2 linked regions of the Alligator mississippiensis genome follow. The protein of the gene in region 1 purifies or fractionates together with the protein of each later gene. This does not show direct contact. Links are inferred from orthologs where the notes say so. Each region holds a gene or a part of one and is shown on either strand. Other genes may lie near its edges.

Region 1 (6,984 bases):
ATTCCAACGCGGTCCCCCCCAGTTTACAGCCTCCTGACAGGGCGCATCATCAAGAAGCTGACCAATCACAAGGCCTGCGTGCGGGACGTCAGCTGGCACCCCTATGAGGAGAAGATTGTGAGCAGCTCGGTGAGTGGGTCAGGATCCAGCAGGGGGGAGGAGGGGTGGGGTGCAGATCTATGGCCTGGCAATGCTGAAGAGGGGGGAGGCATTCTCCAGTTGCGTCCAGCAGGGGGTGCTCTAATTCCCCCCACCCCTTCTTCCTGCAGTGGGACGGGAGCCTGCGTGTCTGGGAGCACCGCCAGGCTGAGTACTACGAGGATGACCTCAGGGACCCGGGGAGCCCCCCCGTGGCCCCCAAGCCCTCCCGGGCCACGCCCCGCTCCTCCAGCCAATAGTGCACCTCAATCGTGGCCCCCCCCCCACAGGAGAGATTGGCGATGCAATCCAGCCCCCCCCCTCCTCACTAGGGACAGGGACCCTTGGGTGGGGCTTCCCCCTTTGTGGAGCCAGGGCCTTGCTGTTCCTGGGCAGAGGCGGGTGGTGCGGGGCTGGCAGGTGAGGGCTCCCTGCCCGTGGCGGGGATGCTGGCTTAGGAGTGGGGCAGGGGGCTTTGCCCTCCTGACAGTGCTAGTTCTGACAGAGGGGGGAGGGCGCTGGCTGGCTCCGGGCAGGCGGAGGGGAGCCAGATCTAGGTCCTCTCCTCTGCCCGTCCTTGACCTCCCCTCCCCTCCCACATCCTGAACTCCCGTCAGCTGTTCCCCCCCCCCCCGCTGTGGGGGAGGGGTGGTCTCTGGGTTCGGGTGGGTCTTTTGTGAGTCCCTGGCTTTGCCTTGCCTCTCTGATTTGGGGGGCTGGTATTTTGGGGGGGGGGCTTCTGTTTTCCCCCCCTCCATGGAGAAGTGGGGCTGTATATTCTCTGCTAGTGGGGGGATGCCCCCTTGTTTTTTAAAGGCTGGGAAGTGTGTGGGGGTGTCTCCCATATTCTCAGTCCCATGCGGGTCCCCCGTGCATGGAAGGGCCAGGCATGGGGGACTTGGAGGGGCTCTGTGCCCCCCCTTCTGCCCTGTGCTGCACGGGGGCTGTCTGTGTCACCTGCTGTCTATGTTGAGAATAAACCTCTCTAGACGTGTCTCTGTGCCCCTTGATTTGGGGGGGAAGCCCCTCTTCCCCCGACCCAGTCTGCAGGGGATAATACTCTCTACTTACCCCCCCAGATTCCCTTTGCCCCCCTCCAGCCTTCTTGTCTGCACCCCCTCACAGGCCCCTGGGATCAGCCAGCAGCTGCCACCTGTCACTTTTAGGCCAGGCCCCGCAGCTGTCTTGGGCCAGGCCAGGCTGTGCCCGTCAGTGTGGTGCCATGGGGGCCTGGGAGCTGTGGGGGCTGGCGCGGCGGGCACTGGGGCTGGCAGGGGGCCTGGGTGCAGGGCTGGTGCAGCTGGCTGGGGAGCAGGCCGCCTGGGTGCTGGTGCTGCCGGGAACACGCCGGGCCTATCATGCCGGGCTCGCGCTGCTGGTGCTGCTGTCGCCCCTGCTGCGGCTGTACGTTAGCCCCCATGCCGTCTTCGCCAACCCCCGCAACTTCTTCCATGTGTGAGTCCCCTGGCAGGGGGCTTCTGGGCTGGGAGCAGGGAGGGGGGGAGTGGGCTTTAGAGGTCTTGAGATGGCAAGGGAGGATCCTCGGTGGGGGTTCATGGGGGTGGGTGGAGTTTGGGTGCTGGGTTGGGTGGATAGGGGGGAACTGGGGGCTCTGAGGGTCATGGGAGGGACGGCAGTCTGTATCTGGGAAGGGAGGGGAGGGAACTGCGTGAGGGGACATCTGAGGTGGGACTTGGGGTTGGGGCTCAGGGCAGAGTGAGTGGGAGGGCAGGAGCTACTGGGGGCAGGATCTGTAGGGTGTTGGGGACTGGGCTTGAGGTCTGGGGGGGCTTTGAGATCTCAAGGGGTGGGGGAACAGGGATGGACGGGGATGGGGTTGTGTGGACAGGTCCAGGGCATGGGGCATTTGGGGGTAGAGGGAGATGAGTGCAGGAGGGCGCTGGAGCAGGGGTGGGTGACAGAGCCTAGGTGCCCCCCTCACCTCTGCCTCCTCCTGTCCACAGGAAACTGGTAGCGTCGGCCTGGGGCTGGACCAGCCTGCTGGTGGCGGGGCTGCTGCTGCCGCTGGCAGTAGGCGCAGCAGGACGGGTGGGTGCAGCGCTGCGCCCACTGTGCCGACTGGCTGTGGGCGCAGGGTTCTGGGTGGGCGCCCGCGCTGCCTTTGCCCTGGCCGAGGACCTGACGGGCCACTGCTATGACCCGGTGCCTGGTGGGCGGTTGGTGAACGCGCTGCCCTCCAAGGCAGCCTGCAGCGCAGGCGGGCACCGCTGGACTGGCTTTGCCCCCTCGGCGCCTGCCTTCCTGCTCACCTTCTGCCCACTGCTGGTGCTGGAGGAGGCAGGCGTGTTTGGGCGCTGCCTGGCTCGGGGGCTGCGGGCGGGGGCCGCGCTCCATGCCCTCTTCCTATTCAATGTGGCACTGCTGCTACTGTGGCCAGCCCTGCTGGTGGCCACGCTGCTGTGGCAGCCGCCCTATGCCCCCCATGCTGCTGGTACTGCCACTGCCACCCTCTGCTGGGCCCTGGCGTACCGTGGCTGGTACCGCTGCCGCTGGTCCCCTGGCCGCCCTGGCACTGGCCTCTTCCCCCTGGCCGCCGAGTGCGCCTGAGGGATCCTGGCATGTGGGGTGGGGAGGGGGGTGGGGTGCGGGGGACCTGGATATCCAGTAGAAAGAGTGCATGGGGTGGCCTCTGCGGTACATGCAGAGATGGGAGGGGGTGGGAAATCTCAGTGTCTAGAGAACAGCTGGAGAAGAAGATGGGTGATGCCAACCTTGGTGTCTGGGAGAAGGTGGGAGGTGAGAATCTGGGTTTTCGGGAGGAGGAGAGGGTGGGGCCATCTCTGGGCAATGTGTGGAAATGCAAACATCTGGGAGGAGGCCACCTCTGGAGAACATCTGGAGAAGGTGGGAACCCAGGCATCTGGGGTGGGCCAGGCCTGGTGAACACCTGGAGAAGCTCTGCACAGCAATGGGCAATGGACTCATCCTAAGCTCAGTCAGGAACCCAGGCATCCAGGAGAGGGGAAATCAGCTGGAGAGTCTTGTGCAGGGGCGTCTCCCCCTGCCCTGGAGTGTGGACTTGTCTGGGCTGAGGAACCGCGGCATCTGGGACAGCCTGCCCCTGGCCATCGCTAGGAGACGACTGAGGGGTCCATGTGTCCTCGGCACCTTCTGGGGCCAACAGGCGTGGAGAAGGGACCCAAGCGTCTGGGAGACCACCGGTCAATTGACGCCAGACTACTTTTGTCATGCGTGCAGCTTGTTCCCACCTTTGGATGTGGGATGGGAACCGGCTCGTTCAGGAGAGCCAGGGACACCAGCTGGAGAAGGGCAGGGTCCCCGTCTGCCCCAGCAGCGATGTGGGGTGTAGCCCCAGGTGCCCAAGCAGACGCCCAGGCTGAGAACTGAGGTGCTGGGGCACGAATAAAGGTGGCCTCTGAGTCTGGCGTTGCCTGCCTGGTGTTTGAAGTGGGGCCGGGGGGGCACCCAGGTGCCTGGGGGAAGTGGAGGGGCTTCTGGTGGGGGGGAACCAATGGGAGAGGGGGCCCAGGGCTCTGGGAGGGGGAGAGGCAGAAAACCCAGGCATCAGAGACCAGTCTGAAACCCCCACCCCCACTGAGGTCACTGCTGGGGAAAGCTCACAGCCCTTGTCTCGCCCCACCCTGAGGGCACTGGTGGGGAAAGTTTGCAGTCCTGCCACCCCTCCTCCCCCACCACCACTGCCAGCACTGCTGGGGGAAGCTCACAGTCCCCCCCTCTCCCCCCACCCCATCCTGAGGGCACTGCTGAAGGAAGTTTGCAGCCTTTGGCTGCCGTCCAAGACCGGAAATCCCCGGCCTGCTGCTTTCGATTTCACTTGTCACGCTCACTGCTGCGGTACCACGCGCCTGTGCCTGGACTGGCCCCACACCCCCCCGGTGCCCCCCGGCCATGGCCGCCCTCCGCCTGCCCCCCGCCAGCCAGGCCCAGGTGAGGGGGGGCGGGTGGGGAGGGCAGGGGCCTAGCCGGGCTGAGGCCTGGCTGGAGTAGCTGAGGCCTAGCCAGGGTATTTGGGGCCTGGCTGGGCCTGTGGGCCCCCAGCGGTGTGGTGGGGATGGGGTGGGAGGGAAGTGGCTGGGAGCCCCCCAGACCCCCCGCTGGAGATGGAGGGGCTGTTGCTGGCGAAGGCAGCACAGGCTGGGCTGGGGGGAGTTTTGGGGGGGCCCTGGTGACCCCCCCCCATTGTGCTCTACCCAGGTGGATGCCTTCCGCAGCCAGCTGTGTGCTGAGGTGAGATGCTGCGAGCTTCCCCTAGCAGTGCCCTTGGGGCTGGGGGAGGGGCAGGGGCTGCAAGCTTCTCCCAACACTGCCCTTGGGATGGTGGGGCAGGGGATGTGAGCTTCCCCCAGCAGTGCCCTCAGGGTGTGGCGGGGCAGCAGTGGCTGTGAGCTTCCCCCAATGGTATCCTCAGGACGCGGGGGGTGGGCAGGGGCTGTGAGCTTCCTCTGGCAGTGCCCACAGGGTGGAGGGGCAGAGGCTGTGAGCTTCCCCCAGCAGTGCCCTCGGGATGGGGGGGGCAGGGGCTGTGAGCTTCCCCCAGCAATGCCCTCGGGGAGCAGGGGGGTGAGGGCCTGCGAGCTTCCCTCAGCAGTGCCCTCGGGGGGGGGGCAGTAGGGACTGCAGGCTTCCTCCAACAGCGTCCTTAGGGGGGTGGGGGCAGGGGTTGTGAGCTTCCTCTAGCAGTGCCCTCGGGGAAGGGGGGGGGGAAGGCCTGCGAGCTTCCCTCAGCAGTGCCCTCGGGATGGGTGGGCTGGGGCAAAGGCTGCGAGCTGTTCTCAGGTGCTCCGTCCTGTTCCCCCACCCCAGACTGAGCAGATGGTGGGGAGTCGGTTCCCAGAGCAGATCGCAGAGTTGGACGCTCTCCTCAAGGTGGATTGGGGGCGCAGGACATGGGGGAGGCTAGAAATGGGGGGCTCGGGGGCATCTGGGCAGGGTGGGTGTGCTAAGGGAATAGGGAGAGACTGCAGGCCTGGAGGATTTGGAGGGTCCAGGTCCTGCTGGGGGGCCCAGGGCATGGGATGGTGGTGGGGGGAACAAGAGATGGGTTGGGATTGAGGGGGTGGAGGGGGGGGGCCTGAGGTATTTGAGGGGGCTGAGGATTGTGGAGTGTGCTGAGGGGGTTGCAGTCAGGGGGAAGGTGTAGGGGACCTGAAGAGACTGGGGCTGGAGGGAGGGGTGTGGGGGCACTAAAGAAGGCTTTGGGGAGCCAAGGGGTGTTGGGGATTGAGTGGGGGCTGGGAGGTGTGGGGGGTCAGGGAGGGGGGTTGGGGTGTCTGTAGAGAGTTGGGGCTTGTGTCTGGTGGCAGGAGGGAGTGGGGGCTGGGAGGGGCATGGGGGGTGCTGGGGGTATCTGGGAGTTGAGGGAGGGAGGAGCTGAGCTGGGGGGATCGGGCAAGGGGTCTCTGTGGAGTCAGGGTTCAGGGCACCCACTGATCTCTCCACCCGACACCAGGACCCCGTGCTAAACCTTGTAGACCCTGGAGCACTGCGGGCTGAGCTGGACATCCCCCTGCCCGACCCCGAACGGGACGCCCAGCGCCAGGTGAGGGCTGGGGGGAGCTGGGGAGGTGTGCGTTGCCCAGCACACAGGGATATCTGGGGTGGGGGGTCCAGGCTGTGTGGCGGCTGCAGGGAGAACCCAAGGGTCTGAGAGGGTCTCTTATCTCCCCCCCCCACAGAAGGAGAAGAAGGAGAAGGAGAAGGGGGATGACAAGAAGGACGATGATGACAAAGGTGGGGCTGTGGGGGGCCATCAGGGGGATGGGGGTTGTGGAAAATGTGAAGGGGTCATGGGGGGTTGGAAGGCTGTGGGGGGCTGGGGGTAGGAATTGCGTGGGTCGGAAGGGGCTGGTGGTTGTTGAAAGGTGGGAGGGCCTGGTTGGGGCATTATGGGGCTGGGGGCATATAGAGGGTCCACAGGGGCTGGGGGGTGTCAGGCACTGGGTGGTGTGGGGAGGGCCGGGTGGTCACGGGGACCCCAGGGTGGGTGCTGGGGGGGTGGGGGGGGCACTGGGGGGGCATGGGGGTCTCAGGGTGGTGTTGGAGGGGCTGGGAGGCCACAGAGCAGGTATAACCCCAGTGCCGGCAGGGCCTCCGTGCGGCCCAGTGAGCAGCAACGCCGTGGTGCTGGGCCTGGTGCAGCGCGTCACCCCCCGGTTGCAGCGTGCCAAGGAGGAGCTGGGGCTGGTGAGTGACACGGCAGTGATGCAAACCCTTGCACCGCATAACTGCAACCTGCACCGCCACTGCTGTGCCCGGGGTGGGGGGCTGGGGCTGGACATGCAACTCCACCACCACATGAGACCACACAGCCATACGCCATTATCATATGGCTGTATGCACGTCACACCACACTGCCACTAAAGACCACCGCAACTATGTCACCACATGGCTGAACACCACTACACAATCATGCAACACAACTGCACACTGCTACACAACCATAGAGCTATGCACCCCAGGGCAGGGCGCCAGGGAAGAGCTGGGAGTGGTAGGTCACACTGTACAGTTATGCGACCACACAATACCGCACTGCTATGCTACACCACTACGCAGCCATGCTCCACTGCACACCATGACCTCACACTGCTGCACAACACCATAGCCATATGCCATGCTGTCATGCAGCACTCTAGGGAGGAGCTGGGGCTGATGAGTGGTGCACAACACAGCAGCCACACAACACTGTACACCACAACACAGCTGCACACTGCACACCATTCCACAACTGGAGGCTATTACACAACTTTACACACCGCTACAGAACCACACAATGCTACACACCACTACACAACTGCACACTGCTCTGCAACAAGACAATACCGTGCACCACTACATGCTTGCACA
Region 2 (7,851 bases), on another chromosome or scaffold:
AGAGTTTGGCTAGGCTGGAGGATTGCTCTCCAGCAGCGTAATAGGTGGAGGACGCAGAGGAGTAAGTGGGGTGCTGAGGAGTTGTACAGTTCTAGAGTGCTGATTGAGATGTTTGCTTGTGTTACCTTGTGAGTTGTCTGTCTGTTATTGTAAACTGCTCTGAGCCTTTCTGGATTGGGCAGGACATAAATCTAAATAATAATAATAATCACCTAATGACAAAAAATTATAGTTGTCAGCAGACTCCCTTTGGTTGTGGGCCTGGGGAGGTGGGTCACAATACAAATCTGGCCATGCAGTAGCATGATGGAGCCTGTGTTTCTTCAGCAATGAACTGTTCAGCTAGTGATCTCATCTGAATTCCCTTGACCTTCTTTGAAGACCTGTAAACTATAACCATTACTAGCAATAAGAACAAAAATGATTCCTACTGTTTTTTTAAAAAAGCCTTTTCATATTGTGTATTTAATAATTTGTATGCTGGTCAACAAAGCTTATTACAGGATTAAGGGCCAGAAATCTTAAATGCGTGTTTCAAACCCAATGCCTCCCTGGCAGCTGTGCTGGGTTTTTCTTTAGATGGGATTAAATCAAAATTTCTACTGTGAATAACCCTGGTATTTATGGGAGTTTGGATCTGAATCCAAACTTGGCAGTTCATAGCCACCCTTCAGCAGTTTAGCAGCAGCTGGCTGGTACAGTTGCAGCTTGAAGATCATTTTCACTTATTATTAACATGAAAAGTAGCAGGTACCCATGCACAGGAAATTGTTTTGGGTAAGGTCTTTGGTGAGAGTCATACCTATATGACTGAACAAATGCAATGGATTGAATAATACTGTCAGGTAGGAAGGATGGTACATTAGGTAGGGACTTGGGAGGGCTGGGTTCAGATATCCTGTGTGACTTTGAAAAAGTTAAATATATGCTCATGGCTCCAGCTCCCTGTCTGTAAAGCAGAGATAATGGTACACATTCTCTTTTTTCCCAGTTTATTTTCTTTATGCAATTGATGCCATTTTGTGAACAGTTGACTTTATTCTTTTCCCAGTTAGTCTGCATATGTCTCACCTGGGAACAAAGGAGAGGAAAAACATTTACAATATATATATTTACAATATACAATTTACATTTACAATGTATATATTTACAAAAAACAATAGGAATGTGTTGTCACAAAATGATAAACAGTGACAGGCAGACTACTGGGAAGGTCTGGTACTTTAATATAAAGTTCAGTTCACATTAAGAGTAGCCTTCTAATGCATACACTGACCTTGTGATACTGTGTGTGGCACTATGTGAAGATTGTAGTATTTTGTCAGCAGGTGGCATTGTTCTACAAGTGGTGTTCTTTTTATTGCATTGGAGGTGCTGTAATCACATTGTAGTTTTGAGGCAGTATCCTGGTCTTTGTATCTGTGATTTTCATGCATATCTAGTGGCTTTTATTAAAACCAAGAGCTCTAGTTTTAAACTGATATTTCATTCTACAGCAAAATCTGGGCCGATGTTCTCTGATATTTTATACATCTGGCAGAATCTGGCCTTAAAGACATCTTAACCAATGCAGAGAGAGAATTCCAATATAAGGGCATAAATACAAATAGATGCTTGTCTGCCCCTCTGCCTTTGCACAGCTTAAAAAAAATATTACTTTTTGGATTAAGAAAATAATTTAGTAGTTTATGGATTACCAATAAATCTGAAATACCTAGACTCCCTAGATCTGCTAGAGTATGGCTGACTTGGCTGTTTCTCCTTTTCCGGTAAATGAGTCACATAATATAATTGTGTGCAGGTCTTCTGGGTGACACCTGCCTCTGTTGGGTGGGCATTCCTGATCTCATGACACTTTTTTTTAGAAAAGTAAAGCTTTGTTCTAGCATTTGCTCTTGCACAGCTGTGTGTTCTCTCCTAATGTACCTGAACATTCTCTCTTTTTTATTTGAGCAACATTTGTTCAGCTAGTTGTGCCAATAAAGTATTATTGGATGGTATAGAAAGTGACACCTTGAGATTCTTTTAAGAGTGCCACGCAGTATTAACAGTTAGGTGTGCAGACACTTGCACATGATTCATAAGATAAACCCAGAGCTATCAGATGGGAATCCATAGTGTCAAGAACACTCTGACCTTTCATGGTCTTTCTGAGTCCTTTGCAATAGAGCGTTTCTGCTATTTCATAGTCCAGAAACAAATGAAAGCTAAGAGTTAGCATTTTCTGAAGGATGCTTTGAGTTTAATGAGGAGTGCTTTGACTCTATACACAGTATAGAATTTGTGAGAGACCATGGGATTTCTGAGGTTGAAAGCAGCCGCATGTGTGTAAGATTTTATCATAGGCACTATTTTAATGAATAATTTAGGATAATCTCCATTACTGAAAGATTTACAGAAGCCTCACCCAAAGGTGGCAGTGGATGATAAGGTCATCTTGCGGGAGGACACTGGTGGCAATGGTCATCAAAGCCATAATGCTGCTCTATAAATGTGATCTAAATCCAGTTAAAGTCCATTAAAGACTTTCTGTTGCCTTTGTATGCAATAACGAAACTATCGTTTATATCCTTTTTTCTATTTTATGATTTCCTGAAGAAATTCCATCATCCATCAGTAAAAAGTCTTCATCGAGGGAAGTTCATTTGGAACTTGGCAAATGTTCCTCTTTTGGATCAGTATATTCATGCCCTGGGCCAGAGCGAATACTGTGAAGTTGTGAGCCAAGTAATTCAACAGTTTAAAGAGAAAATCTTACCCAACCTAAGCAATTTTCGAGCCTGTGAGTAGTTTCTAACACAGTTTTGCTGTAAGACTTCCTGAATGTAAGAAATGATTCCAAGAGAATTTGCGTGCTTATAAAAAGAGCCAAATACAGGGCACTATAGGAAATTGTTTATTGTACTCCTGAACATATACAAGCTGCTCGCAATGCTCGGTGAACAAGACCCAAACCAGGCCTGGGAGGAATGAATTATTTTCATGAGTTAAAAGGGAGTTTAGTTTTAGCCTGTTTGCTGAGATTCCCAGCAAGGGTGCCAATTACTGTGGAGATTTTCATAATATAACAAGAGTTTAGTAGAACTAGATGAAGGCTTCTTACTCATTTCATATTGGCCGCTGACAGTTGTCAAAGAGCAATGTCTCTCAAAATAACCTAAATTAGTGACAATGGTAATCCAGCAGTGAAAGGCTTCATGACCTTGTGCATGAATCTTTGTGTCTGGATAGCAGGTGGCACATTTTAGGTGCTATAAAAGCTAAGTAATAAATCATAAACATCCAAATGCCACTTATCTAATGTGCTTATATATGATAATGAAACAGGTTCTTATAAAGAACCAGGAAAGCATGAGAGTTATAGCAATATTGTCAGGATTCGGTTCTGTTGAGGCAGACCAGAATAGGCATGCAGTTAATCTGGGAGTGTTAACTTCATTCCCTCTTCATATGTACGTGTTTTCAATTTAGTTTTCTCAAGAGAATGGGCAAAGTTTCCACTCTTTGTTTACTACTTTTCTTTTTCTTGTTTGTACATAATACGTTCTCTCTCCTTTTTGCATTCAGGTATCAATCATGGGGACCTTAATGACCATAACATCTTGGTGGACTGCAACCCTGCATCTTCCTCTGAGAGGGCACAGTACAGAGTGACTGGCATTCTGGATTTTAGTGATATGAGCTACGGTTACTATGTATTTGAAGTAGCCATAGCAATCATGTACATGATGATTGAGAGCAAAGATCCTCTCAGCGTTGGAGGACATGTGCTTGCAGGGTTTGAAAGCATCGTGCCATTGACGCCAGAGGAGAGAGGTGCCCTCTTCCTTTTGGTGAGCGGTAGGTTCTCTCAATCGCTGGTAGTAGCGGCTCACACTTTGCAGTTATATCCTGAAAATCAGGAATACTTGATGATCACAGCCCGAGTGGGATGGAAGCACTTAGTCCAACTGTTTGAGGTGGGCCAAGAAGTGGTTGAGAAGATCTGGTTTGAAACTGCAGATGCCTATGCCAGTGCTGCCCAGGCCTAGCTTGCATATTTCCACTGAGGAGATACACAGGGATGTAAGGAAACCTGCAACTTGCAGTGCTGGGACTGGGCTGCAGTTATTAAACGTAGGTTATGACAGAAGCTATACATCCGGGTTTTCCTGAACATGTCTTTTTTTTTGGACCCCTATGCTGCATCCAGGTGGGTTTTTAAATTAAGAGCAAATGTCAGGGTTTTCTGCTCTCCTGGGGTGGCTGTTTGGGGTTGGGAGCAGTGGGCAGTGCCAGTGGCTGCTGGGGATCACATACTCCCAGTGCGGGCTCCAGCAACCAGAGAGAGTGAGAAAGAGGTGTGTGAGAGAGCCGGTGTGCATGCAACACAGGAGCTGCTTGGGCAGCAGGGCTGGGGGGGCAGGGGTCTGCGGGTCAAGAGTGAGGGGTACCAGCAGGGCTGGGAGGGGGATGGGTCACTGTGGGTTGGATGTGCAGGGCACTGGCAGTGCCAGGGGCTGTGGGTCAGGAGAGGGGTACCAGCAAGGGGTGGGGGCAGGGGGCTGCGGTTTGGGAGTGAGGGGCAGGGGCAGGGCACTGGCATGTCACTGCCCCCCCCCAACCCCGTGTCCTCTATTTTGGACCCGGAGCCCCTAGGGGGTTTCCTAATGTGTAATAGCCCCAGGGGGTCCTATGCTCACAGTATGTCTGTAGCCGTCCACCCTGCGCTCTCGAGCCGAGCAGGCCGGGGCGCACAGACGCTCCCAGGCGTTGACCGCGTCGGGGCGGGAAGCTGGGCCGAGGCAGCCGCGGCCGGGGGGGTGCTGTGAGCGCGATTCTACCTGCGGCCCGCGGCCGGGCGGGGCTCAACGTCACATCCAGGTCCCGCCTCTTCGGTTCCGGCCGGGCAGAGCCAGCGCGCATGCGCGGCGGCCATCTTTGGCTGAAGCCGGTGTGGAGTGCTGTCGGCTGACCGGTCCCCCGCAGCCCCTGGAGCCCCGCGGTGAGTGCTGGCGGCGCCCGCGGGGTGGGGGCGGGGCGGGGTGGGGTCCGGGCCCCCGAGGGGGGCGGGTGTCCAGGCTCGGCGGGGGCTGCGGGGCTGCCCCGGGCTTAGCGCGGGGGGTGGGGGATGACTGTGCACTGCCGCCTCGAGGAGCCGGGCTCGACTCGGCGCGGCCCAGGGCCGGCGGGAGCCCCCGGGGCCCGTGCTGCTGCCCTGCTGGGGGCGGGGGCGGGAGGGGGTGGGTGCCTCGCTTTTACGGCGGGATGTCACCCGGTTTGGGGACCCGTGCTGTAGTGCAAGCGTCCTGGTTAAATAAATGCCTCCAGCGTCCTCGGCGTGCCCTGGGTATCTTGTTGTCACCTGACAACTTTCATTTTCATTTGCAGCCTAACGTAAACTTCCCAGCAACATGGTGAGTTAATACCTGACGGCTCAGCTCTTTAGTCCCTTGTTCACTTAATTGGTTAAACTCTTCAACAGCTAAATCAGATAACAGATAATCAGTGGGAAATGGAGGCTCCGCTCTTGCCAGTAGTAACGTTTAAGTTTATCTGGAAAAACGTGCACAGAAATATTGCAGGGTTGGGCTCAAACTTCACAAGAAAGACCAGGAGTAAGGGAAAAGTGTATTGAGGTAAATATGCATTCAATTAGGGGCGAGTAAAATACAGCCTGTGGCTGCCCAGCACTTTCATTTAGCCCACAGCGCCCACCCACAAGTTGTGCACTGCCTAGCCCTTCCGCCTATGAGGATGTGAGTGAGGTGCCCATGTGTATACCTGCCCCCCCCCAAAAAAAACAACATATCCTATTGTGCCTTGCTCCCACCCTCATGGACATTAGGGCTGGGCCCATGGGGCTTCCCTCCCATGCCGTATGAGTGCAGGGGCTGCATGTGCGCGGCAGGGAGTGCCGGGGATAGAGACTGCCCAGTGGAGGCTGCGCCCTGACGGCATGAGTGCCCCCGCCTGCTGCTGCCACACCCTAAAGGAAGCGTGGGGGGGGGTCCCATATCTCCCCACCTTCCCTCGCACTTCACAAATGCCACACACCCACACCCTGCCCCCACAACTGTCCACATATACACAACCCCCCAACGTACCCTATTGCCCCCCACACAGTCACAACCCCCCTACCGCACACGCACATCCCCAACCACCCCCCCACAATATACAAGACTACAAATATGTGCGGTCACCTCTATATACAGTATGCAAACAAATCATAACCAAAATATTTTTTGTAATGAAATTAAAATATGTTATAGTAGGTGTTGGACTTTTAGTGTATGCTTTGGTTTTTTTTCTGGTTCTAAGGTGGCAACCCCCTCCCAAAAGGAGTATGGGGGGTGGGGGAGCAATGGGAGGGACTTCCAGTGACAAGGGTTAGGGGGTGGGACTTCTGGTCCCAAGGTGGCGATCAGGGGGCAGGGCAACTGTCAGGGGCCAGGGCTATCCATGTGGTCCTCAACAGCTCACCAAAGCTCATTAAGCGGCCCTCTGCCTGAAATAGTTGTCCACCCCTGCATTAAATACTTGCTCCTTGACCACCAATGAAAGGTTCTAATGGCAACAAAATTGCCTGCTGTGCTGCTTGCTGTCTCTTGTAAATAAGAGAGTGGGGTCACTGGATGGCTTCTACATGTGATTGAAAAGATGACTAGTATAAAATTTCTTCTTGTGGCAATAGAACAGAAAAAGTAAGTTGTTTTTGCTTTGTTTTTTTCTTTAAACAGTCTCGAAGATATGATTCCAGAACTACTATATTTTCTCCAGAAGGTATTTTTTGTGAATGGGAATGAATCACTGGACCCTTCAGCTTTTTCTGAAAATTAAATAGCAGCTAAACTTGTGAAAAGCTGTCATGTTGGATGTTTACACTTTGTCTGATATGTCAAATATTACTTAAATCTGGTTTTCACATTAGGAATAACACCCAAAACTGTGTGGTCAAAGTGGAGCACTACTTTCAATTTTTTGATTTAAGAACAGAGGCATTAAAGATCCTTTGCTTTATTATGGGGGGGGGGGGGGCTATGGTGAATTTTAGCGTGGCTGTAGCCCCCCTCCCAGCGCTGCCCACCCCGAGCACAGCCCCGGCCCAGTACCCCCATCAGGAACAGGTTGGTGCAGGCCCCAGCCCCAAGCCTGCAGCGGACAGCCTGTCCTCGCCCCATGCTCAAATCTGGGGGACACGTGTCCCTTTGTGGCATTCCCCCAGGGGTGTGCACAAAGGTGGGGAGCCCCCTTTGCCCCCTGGATGAGCTGCCTGCAGCACAATCTCCCACCCCACCCTGCCCTAGCTGGCCAATGCCTGCCCTGGTCCCATTCTCTCCCTCACTGTGGGGGCCTCAAGCTGCCACACTCCTTCCCTCCCCCATGCCTCTTCCCTCCAGTAGACTTACCGGCCAGATGCTGCTCTCTAAGCTACTGGACTACATATCAGCAATTGGATCAGTATTGGCCAATATGGTATCGGCCAAAAAAGTTTTTATTGGTGCACCCCTACTACATAGTGTAGTAATTGCTGCTTTTTAGGGCTTGTTTATTAGAGTGGGAGAGGCCTAATGTAAAATAAACTAGGCATTGAAGCCTGGTAGTAGTTATGGACTGAGTAAAGGCCAAGTGGCTCTCTTAGTGTGAGTTTATCCGTTCTTGACAGTTTAATTGTACCCCTTGTTTTCTAGTCACTGTTTTCTGTTTGGAAGCTCTGCTTCCTTCAGCTCTTCATACCAGCTTATTTTGTCAGATGCTGCTTTTTAAAGCATGTGCTTTCTCTGATTTAGTTAGTCTATAAGGCACTAATCCACCTTACCTTCAGCTACCAGTAGCAGCCATAGGACTTGTTCCTAGGATGGGGTGATCACC

The links. Proteins that work in one complex are often made in the same cells at the same time.
Region 2: the proteins of PSME1 (region 1) and PSMA4 purify together in Homo sapiens (affinity purification with western blotting; 4 studies listed by BioGRID and IntAct, with this or other methods). This does not show direct contact. The link is inferred for Alligator mississippiensis from reciprocal best matches to the Homo sapiens genes PSME1 and PSMA4.

What each region holds. Positions count from the first base shown.
Region 1 is NC_081830.1:7,786,016-7,792,999, forward strand, and holds the start of PSME1 (proteasome activator complex subunit 1), read left to right. Parts: upstream 1-3,932; 5' UTR 3,933-4,029; coding exon 4,030-4,068; intron 4,069-4,335; coding exon 4,336-4,368; intron 4,369-4,944; coding exon 4,945-5,007; intron 5,008-5,590; coding exon 5,591-5,680; intron 5,681-5,816; coding exon 5,817-5,871; intron 5,872-6,226; coding exon 6,227-6,324; intron 6,325-6,984. Other genes in the region: DCAF11 (DDB1- and CUL4-associated factor 11), read left to right, coding at 23-129, 270-398; FITM1 (fat storage-inducing transmembrane protein 1), read left to right, coding at 1,361-1,593, 2,103-2,706. UniProt on the Homo sapiens protein: Implicated in immunoproteasome assembly and required for efficient antigen processing. The PA28 activator complex enhances the generation of class I binding peptides by altering the cleavage pattern of the proteasome.
Region 2 is NC_081834.1:30,788,313-30,796,163, reverse strand, and holds the start of PSMA4 (proteasome subunit alpha type-4), read left to right. Parts: upstream 1-4,834; 5' UTR 4,835-4,984; intron 4,985-5,370; 5' UTR 5,371-5,393; coding exon 5,394-5,396; intron 5,397-6,719; coding exon 6,720-6,762; intron 6,763-7,851. Other genes in the region: HYKK (hydroxylysine kinase), read left to right, coding at 2,599-2,782, 3,568-4,031. UniProt on the Homo sapiens protein: Component of the 20S core proteasome complex involved in the proteolytic degradation of most intracellular proteins. This complex plays numerous essential roles within the cell by associating with different regulatory particles.